2 linked regions of the Cricetulus griseus genome follow. The protein of the gene in region 2 purifies or fractionates together with the protein of the main gene of each other region. This does not show direct contact. Links are inferred from orthologs where the notes say so. Each region holds a gene or a part of one and is shown on either strand. Other genes may lie near its edges.

The links.
Region 1: the proteins of Erlin2 (region 2) and Insig1 purify together in Homo sapiens (affinity purification with western blotting; 4 studies listed by BioGRID and IntAct, with this or other methods). This does not show direct contact. The link is inferred for Cricetulus griseus from reciprocal best matches to the Homo sapiens genes ERLIN2 and INSIG1.

Annotation. Positions count from the first base shown.
Region 1 is NC_048601.1:94,619,107-94,623,609, forward strand, and holds the start of Insig1 (insulin-induced gene 1 protein), read right to left. Parts: upstream 2,814-4,503; 5' UTR 2,740-2,813; coding exon 2,388-2,739; intron 579-2,387; coding exon 454-578; intron 1-453. UniProt on the Homo sapiens protein: Oxysterol-binding protein that mediates feedback control of cholesterol synthesis by controlling both endoplasmic reticulum to Golgi transport of SCAP and degradation of HMGCR.
Region 2 is NW_023276807.1:56,817,899-56,822,478, forward strand, and holds the start of Erlin2 (erlin-2), read right to left. Parts: upstream 2,819-4,580; 5' UTR 2,692-2,818; exon of another isoform or gene 2,553-2,691; intron 2,516-2,552; exon of another isoform or gene 2,378-2,515; intron 1,572-2,377; 5' UTR 1,557-1,571; coding exon 1,450-1,556; intron 1-1,449. UniProt on the Homo sapiens protein: Component of the ERLIN1/ERLIN2 complex which mediates the endoplasmic reticulum-associated degradation (ERAD) of inositol 1,4,5-trisphosphate receptors (IP3Rs) such as ITPR1.

The sequences.
Region 1 (4,503 bases), on a different chromosome or scaffold from region 2:
TGCAACTTGACAATTATCTTTTACTTCAAGTCTCCTTAGAAACTTAGTATTTGAAGGGTTTACCATCAAATCAAACCATTTTCACAGAAAATGCAGACTGCACAAAAGCACAGCGCACTGAAGGCAGTGTGTCAGCTTTGGACACGAGAGGCCCAGGGGCCGCCTGACCCGCCTTGACTTCTATGACGGACAAGAGGAGCAAGCTCTCACTAATTCTCTTTCATTGGAACAGGCAGGTCAGTGGGGGAGAAACTAAGAGGGAGGATGGAAAGTCCTTTGAGAGTCCATCTGCTTCTTGTGTTAGCCTAAGTGTCCCAAGATGAGTAAAAGACCCTAGAAACTGGAACTGGATCCCAGAATTTCTCTAAGGTACAGGGATGAGGCAACATTTGGTCACAGTAACATCTGCCCTGCCACAACCCAGATGATAAACTGGACACCAACTGAGGATACGGCACTGGCGTGGTTGATGCCAACGAACACCGCAATACAGCGCATGACGCTGGCCCACTCTCTCTTGAACTTGTGTGGTTCTCCCAGGTGACTGTCAATACAGGGGTACAGTAGGCCGACAACAGCTATTTGAAGAAAAACAAAACAGGATTAGAAAACACTGGCTAACATTAGCCCTGTGTGGTCATTATTAATAGGATCTAAACCGATTACTTTCCTAGGCAGTTTATCACCTGTAGCACAGAGTGCTGTTGTGCGTATACCCTGTGGAAAAGGCTGTGGCAGGGCTATCTCGTATGGCTTCCTCTCAGTCTTGATCAGACCCCAGTGGGACAAGTCCAATACTGTGGGGAGGGCAGGGCAGGGCCCCAGGAAGGGAGCTCTGCTGTCAGTCCCAGGCTGCCCTCGGTGGCTGTGCCTCCTGTTTGTTCCCTCATGTGTGAAATGAGGGTTATGTAAGTAAAGTGGAGGCAGAGAAGAAAGAGGCTCATGTGTTCTGAGTTAGGAGCTGTCACAGACCCAGACCCCTAAACATTCGGACAGCCACAAGCCAGGCATTCCAGAATAGACCAAAAGAGCCAAAACCAGGAAGGGGCTGCCTGCAGTACAAGGAGAGCCCCCATGGGACACAAGGCACATGTGAGCTGCAGCTAAATTCAAGACCTTAGGCTGCCATTCGGACTTGTCAGTGGTGAGAAATGCAGCTCCAACCACACCTTCCGATAAGGAGAGGAACCACCTCAGGTACTCCTCAAAACTTCCATTACAAGCTTGATGTTCCAGATTTCAAATCCACATCTTGTTCCCCAAAGAACTCTGAAGTGCTGGGGTAATAGCTCAGTGGCAAATGATTTGCCTAATGTGTGTGAGGCCATTCCCAGCCCCAAATAAACAGTGTTCATAAAGTGGTAGAGTGCTTTGAAAACAGAGGGGACAACTTTCTTCCAATGGCTACATCAACCCTCCCGGCAGAAGCACACAACTGCCACAAAGCTGAACCCCATAATACTTACTGCAGGTGGGCCTGAGAGCAGCCTTGGGAATCAACAGCAGGTACGCTGCGTATTACATTTAACCCATGACTCAGTTACAGCACAACATCCAAGCCCAGCATATAAAGCCTATGCAGTCAGTCAATAAAAGCTGGCTTCAAAGCAGCTCCTGCTGTCCTGTGCCCACACCTCACCAGACTGGAGGAAAGATGCAACAGCGCTTAGACTGCCCACCTACATAGGCCAAACACAAGCAAGGCTGTGGGGTTGGTGGTGGGGGACACCTGACATGTTTTTTGAATAAATGCTGTGCATTGAGGGATATGCAGGGTTCTACTGGACTGTGACCATTCGACTGGTTTTTTGTTTTGTTTTGTTTTTGTAAAACCAGCAAAATGATTGAAAAAAAGAAAAAAAAAAAAAGACTAGCATTGTCACAAGTTTCACTGGACGTGAGAGGTGACACCATAGGTAGGTATGCTTGGGCCCAAAGGTTCCTGCTTTACTCCTGTCCCAAGTCTACTGGGCCACGGAGTTCCAGAGGGCTTGGCTGCTAGCCACAAAGCACTCACTATCAGCAGAAGGAAGTGTGGAGAAGTCTGTCCCCTGGCAACAGCCTCTTGCGCGCACGTGACGGTTTGTTTTCAGTTATTCAGCGGGGTAGCACGTTTGCTCGGGCAGCCAATGGCCGCCTGGTGCTTCACTCACCAGTTCTTCAGGCAGCCAATCCTCGCTTCTGGCTCCACGAGACTCCTCCACTTAAACTGCCAATTATCTCCTGACCTCATCTCCATCCCCAGTCCCTCTAACTTCCGCCTGTCGCTCGCTCGCCAGCGTCTGGGGCTTCCAACCCTCTCGTGTCCCCTTTCTTGTGCTCGGGGTGACAACAGCTGACGTGTCCCTGCCCCCGCCCCGACTCCAAGAACGAGGGAGGGCACTCACCGGCTGCCGTGCCACAGCACGGGGGCACCCACCAGGCGGAGGAGAAGATGGTGGCGATCACCTCGTCGGGGAAGAGCGTGACATTCCGCTGGATCTGCAGCAGGTTGAGCACCAGGGCCAGCACCACGCCGAAAGAGAAGAGCACGAGGCTCCGCTGCACCAGGTCGTGGTGCCAGCTGCCGGGCCGCGCGCCGCATCCTGCCGTTCCCGCTCGCGGGCTCCGGGGCGCGGGCTCCGGGGCTCCGGAGCCCTGCGGACAGCGGGCTGCCGCAATCATGCCTCGCGGGAGGCTGTGCGGCCTCGCGGCGCCGGAGCCCGAGCAGCTCCAGACGTGGTCGTGCAGCCTGGGCATCGGCTGCCAGGCGCACCGTGGGAGGAGCACGCCACGACACCGCACGTAGCGCGCCCGGACGGCCCAGGAGCGGCCGCGGCCCCGCGCGGGCTTCGCTTATAAGGCGGGCGGCCGGTGGCGTCACGTGACTCCGCCCAGCCTATCCGCCGCCCGCGCGCCCCGCTGTGGGGCGTGCCTTCCCGCGGCTCCGCCCCGCCCGCGCGCCTGTCCGCTCGCGGTCTGGTGAGGCGGCGGGAGCCAATGGGAGGAGGGCGGCCCATATGACGTGCGCACACGCCACCGGGGGGTGGGGCCGGTGCCCGGCACGCGCGCTCGGAGCGAGTGCTCGCCGCACGGGCCGGGCAGGACGTGGGACCGAAAGTCCGCCCTGCCCTTCCGTGCGCTGCGGGACCCCGGGCTCTGGAAGAATGCGGAAACGCACGGGCCCTCCCTTTCCCCAGGGTCCTGAGCGTAAACCCCTCCTACTGCTCAGAAGACCCGGGCTCCCCGGGGCCGGGCGGGGTGGCACCTGGCTGGCCGCAGGTGACAGGGGGGCAGTAGGTTCACAGCCCCGTCCAGAGCGCCCCTTAGCCAAGACCCCACGGGCTAAAGCCACAGGGCTTGTGAGCAGGCCTGAAAGGGCGCCGCGTGACCTTAGGTGAGACGCGTGGCTCGGTGGCAAAAGAGTCAGAGTCACCTTCCTAAGCAGGCTGTTTCCCAAAGTTGACGGGGGAGGTCAGTTTCCCAGCGTGACACCGCACACGGGTGTGGACGGCGCGGCTGCTCCCCTCGCCTTTCCCTCGCAACCCGTCCATCACCTTCTAAGCTGTATTGGCGGTTCTATGCGTTGTTCACAAGAACTCGAAGCAGCTTTGACTTCAAGGAATGTTGCAGATTGGGTATTGGCAGTTTTCCACACTCGGGCCTGTGCAAGCTTGTGAAGGTTGCACGGGCACGCACGCACACACACACACACACACACACACACACACGGGGGGGGGGTGAGTTTACAGCAACACGGGAGCCCTTTCAACAGCAAAAAGCAGGAGGGGCTGTCTAGCTTCAGCTGATAGAAAGTTGTTAATGGCAGTGAGTCTCTAACGTGGGATGTGCCAGGTGCAGCCTCTACCACCCATCATGGGCTGCAGGTCCTCTAGATGTTGAGAAAGCTGCACCTGTGTAAATACACACACCTTTGCTCCTAAGGAACAGATACATCCCTCACAGGAAACTTGGCCCTAAACAAGTCACTTTCAGGAAGCTAGCATGATGGAACCTCAGGCTGCAGCGCAGACCCTTCACCCACACCCTGGGACCATGCATCTGTCTGTGATTCCTGAGACACCCACCCACCCGCCCACCACCCACCCACCCACCCACATACACACACACACACACTCCAGTCCCTTTTTTCTCGGGCCATTTTGCTGGTCCTCACAGACTCCTCCAAGGATTCTTTCTGCCCCCTCCTCCTACTCCAAAGATTCTTTCTGTTGTTACAGCCCTTATGGGCAGGCCTGGAGCTTCTAATATTTTGTGGATTTTCGTCTTGCTTGCCTCTGGTGTGGAAAGGGACTAGTGATGTCCTCACACCGTTGCTCTGTTACCAACTGTTCACTTAGTTGCCTCTTGTGCTTACCCAAGCCAGTACTCAAGCAGCCCAACCTCTGCTGCTGCTTGGCCATGTCATCTGCCCTGGGGCAAAAGCAAGCTGTGGTCTAAACTACAAACCAAGGTGCCCCATGGACCATGGAGGATACTCACCCTGTGCTCTGGTTCCCTGGG
Region 2 (4,580 bases):
AGACAGATTTTGCTACATAGCCCTGATTTCTGTAGTACTTGCTATATATAGCCCAGGATGACCCAAAACTTATAGTAGCCTTCTTGCTTCAGCCCTCACCCAAGTGGTGGAATTACAGGTGTTGAGCCACCACACTTGGTTCAAGAATAATTTTAAAGTCACTTCAATACATGTTAAGTATACAATATATGTTTTGACACATGTATATTTCTAATCAAGCTGTATATGAGTGACAAAATTAAAAGCTTTGGGGGAAAAGAAAGCAGAGGGTAGAGACAAATTACTAAAGAGGAAGTGGGAACTCAACAAAAGTTTAAACCTTTTTATTATTATTTTTTAATTAGTGGTCTTGAGTATGCTAGTCAGAAGCACTTCCACTGAGCTACAATTCTAACTCAACGAGCATTCTGGAGCTTGCTGTTCCATAAGCAAGCACTAAATAAGACCCATATAAAAGAAGGGCTCAAGCCGAACATGTCGATGCCTGCATTTAATCCTAGTATTTGGGAAGCTTGGGCAGGTAAATCTCTGTGAGTTCAAGTCAACCTGGTCTACACAGACCATTTCAGACTAGCCAGAGCTACACAGTGGGACCCTCTCTCAAAAATGGGGCAGTGGATAAAGGCTGGAGGTGTAGTTCAGTGGTAGAGTGACATGAGTTTAATCCTTGACACCACAAGCAAAACTATCAGCCTAGCAAATTGCCCCTTCTAAACCTAAAACGAAAACCTTAGTCGAAGAAGCCACTGGAAAGAAAGTAACTCAAGAGTATTTAAAGGGTCACTCTCCCAAAGTTGCCTTGATTGCTATAAATCAGCCTGCAGAGTCTTTATACTTTCTTGAAATATTCACTTTAAAACATTCTCTCAGGCCAGGACTGGTGGTACACACACCTTTAATCCCAGCACTCAGGAAGCAGAGGCAGGTGGATCTCTTAGTTTGAGACCAGCCTGATCTACAGAGCGAGTTCCGTGACAATCAGAACCACACAGAGAAACCCTGGCTGGAAAACAAACTCAACAACAACACAAAACAGTCTCTCAAATTAGCAGAGCACACTTCTCAAGTTGCCATCAAGAACTGGGGCTCCACAACTTCTGAAGGGGTAGCCTGGCGGTGTGGAGACAAGATTCTTCAAGGGATGCAAGGGAAAACAGTGTCTCGGAAATGATCATGAGAGAGTAGTGATTCCTTGAGACTTCTGTCTGTAATCCTATAAATATAAGTATCGGCATTGCCTTAAAAATGCTAATGACAATTTTAAATTTAAATAAACACACACACACACACACACACACACACACACACACACACACACACACCCTTACCCATTGCCACTGCCTTAGAAGCTCCACCTGAAAAGGGCCCCCCTATTTAACAAAATATACAGATGTTGGCAGGATCTGCTAGCCAGTGACAAGGGAGAGGAGCCACCTGTTTCTGCCTTACCTGTAATATACTCCAATATGTCCCTCTTCTATCTTGTGCACAGAAGAGAAGAGAGATGCACAAAAGAAACTGGAAGCCACAGCCACAACTGCTCCCAACTGAGCCATCAGTGAACCTGTATCCTAGAGATAAGAGAGGGGACAATGCATGGCTTGACATGTAGGAGAGAGGCCGAAGCACTGAGAGTAGCTCACCAAGCTGTAGTTCATGGAAAGTGATTCACAAGCAGACTGTTGTAGAAACACAATGCTAGCCAGATCTACATCTCATATCATCCTTGTTCTTGGTCAACATTCGGTTCCTTAATTGTGGGAGTATAATGCCCACTGCAGCGAACAGGCACTAGCTCCCTAGGCATACCTAACAGAGATCCGGTGCCAACTGGGCAGGGTTCAAAACACAGCCTTCTCTTCACTACTCATTAATGTGTTGTCACTGGAGCCACTTGTAAGTAAGGGAAGAGAGGCAGCTGCAGTGTGTTGGCCCAAATTACAGAGGATGTCAAATGACAGGCAGCTGCGGCTATGTATTTCTGGACAGAGCCTCCTACTTCTAATTGCCTGCCATTTCGAAGGAAACCATCAGTTATTCCCTTGGGACTCTGAGGAGAGAGACAGCAGGCAGTTGAGTTCCGAGGTAGGAATTCTCTGGCCTGTCATCTATCTTCCCAGTTATTCCCTTGGACTTAAACGGGTCAGATCTCTAAACAAAACTGAAACCGAACTCTCCTATATCCTTTGCCCCCAAGTGCGGTGGTTATAGGAAACTGGGAGTGCCTCAGCTTGGGGTACTCTGGGCTCCTGGAGGGTCCCAAACGTTCAGGCACCGAGATGCGACCGAGCGTCTGGAAAAACCATGGTGACGGACCGGCACATTGGCACAAGGCGCGGATTCCAACGCTCAGATCTAACTTATTTTTTTTTTTTACCGTGGCGGCCTCCAGCTGCCGAGCAACAGTAGCGTCCTCTCTGCAAATGCCCTCACCACCACCACTACCCCGCCCCACCTCGCGCCCTTTCCCCGCCCTCCTCCACGAGACAGGCACGTCCGAGAGCTTCCGCTCGGACCCGCTGAAGGACCCGTGGGCAGGAGACTGGACACACAGGGGTTCTCTCTGCTCCCGGGTGGGCGGACTGAAAGTGAGCGGCTGCGGGGTCCAGAGCTCTGGAGCTCTGCCAGGATCAGCTCCATCCCCGCGCCGCAGCGAGGCCCAACGTGCACTGAGGGGCGGGGGCTGCGTACCAGGCTGTCCCTCCAGGCGCTCCGTACACGTCTGAACCCCCGTGCAACCGCAGAAACCGCCACACCCCTCAGCACGCTACTTCCTTCCGGACCAGTCGCTTCGATGATGCCATCAATCCGCGCAAAACTCCTCCCCCTACCCCGGGTTTGTCCGCCCGCCCCGCCCCTCGCACGGCAGTGCTCGGCGGTGCCTCCAGGGGGCGCTCGCGAAACGACCCGGTGGCTGCAGGCGGACCTGGGATTGCAGGTCTGAGGATGCCCAGCGCTGGGAAAGTGGGTTCCCGACACCACGACTCTGGTATCACCTTCCGAAGTTCTGACTTTGGAGATGGCTTAGATACTCTCCTTCGATCCCGGGAGAGCTGGATTTCTTTCTGTTTTTCTTTTTCCGGAGCAGGTACCAGAGCGATGCAGCCTTCTCCTCCTCTTCTCTGCTTTTCTCTCGCACCAGCCAAATGAAAAAACTTCCAAATGTGCAGATTATGACGTCGCTAGTCAACAGCCCTACTGAATTGCTCTTTAGACTTTGAGAGCTTTGTTTAGCCTCGAGGTCCCCACAGCAACATAAAGTGATTAACAAGGAATTATTGCCCTGATTTTAATGGACGGAATCTGATTTTGTGAGGGGTGAGGCCAACAGCAGTCATGGAAAACTTCCTTTGCGTTTTCTTAATAGTCGGAGCTTCCTGTCTTGGTTAACACCTGCCACGGTGAGCTTGTGTCTGCCATCTGCACCTAGGGACAAAGTGGACCAGGAAGAGAACCAGACTTCATGTTTCCTAGACTAAGGTCTTCACGTGTTCTCACCCCGCAGCAGCGTGGTATTGGGACTTTCATATTGAGCCTTCTCTTCTATTTTGTTCTGGGGGTGGAACCAAGCGCTTTGTGGCCCCACTCTTTCTCCAAGCTGCTTCCTTAGCAGGGAATTTCTGAACCAGCCACTAAAGTCATTTTGTTTGCAGATTAGAAAGTGCCCACTTTAATATTAGCTTTAAGTAAATGAACAAAAACCTTTCCATACAGCAGATGGTCACTTGTCAAAGTTAGACGATTTTAGGACTCTGGAAAGAACCTCTCCCAAAGCCAAGGCCCTGAAACCGAATCAAAGTTCCGGGAAGCCAGATGTTTGGGGACTGCAGAAGAAAAGCAGCTGCCCCCAACCCCAGATGCCCAGTGGCTACAAAAGCAGACAACAGACCGTGTTGTCTCAAAAACAGCTTATCTGAGGGAAAGGGCTAACTCCCCATTCTGTCCCTAATGAATCCCCTCCTTGCCCACTCTTAGGTACAAACTCCAGCCTGAAGCATGGAATCTGTATTCCCCTGAACTCTGGTCATGGAGTGACTGGGTCCTGTGCCCTGATGAGGGTGTGGTCACAGCTTGAGAAGGCATCTCTCTGTCGTTAAAAACAAAAGCCTGCTTCAGCTATGTGAGGTCATCTGAATTCTCCAAAACCCAGGAAGGGCTTCCAGGGTATTACAGCCCAACAGGGCCCTTTCCTCACCTCTATCCTATCCCCTATCTCCAGTTTCAAGTTGCTTTCTCTATCAAATGCCACTCCACCTTAGTTAGTACTCACTAAGGCTAAACAGCAGGTCCCATCTAGGGCCGTAGCAGCCTCATTGATAGGTGAAGGGGGAGGGGGCTGGTTAGTCTGAAGTCTGTGTTGGCTGAATTGGTAAGTGTTCTTGCCTTTACCCTCTGAGGAGACCTGGAGTCCCCAGAGGCCTGCCTTTGCTATTTCTAGAACTACACCCCACAACATCTGCTCTCCCTCTTAACACACATGTGGGTAAGGATCCATTTGTTCACAGCAGCATCCTGGGAATTCGACTCTGCTTCAGGAGTCTTTCTTCTCTCTGGAAACTCTTGGGAATTTCATTCCAGTG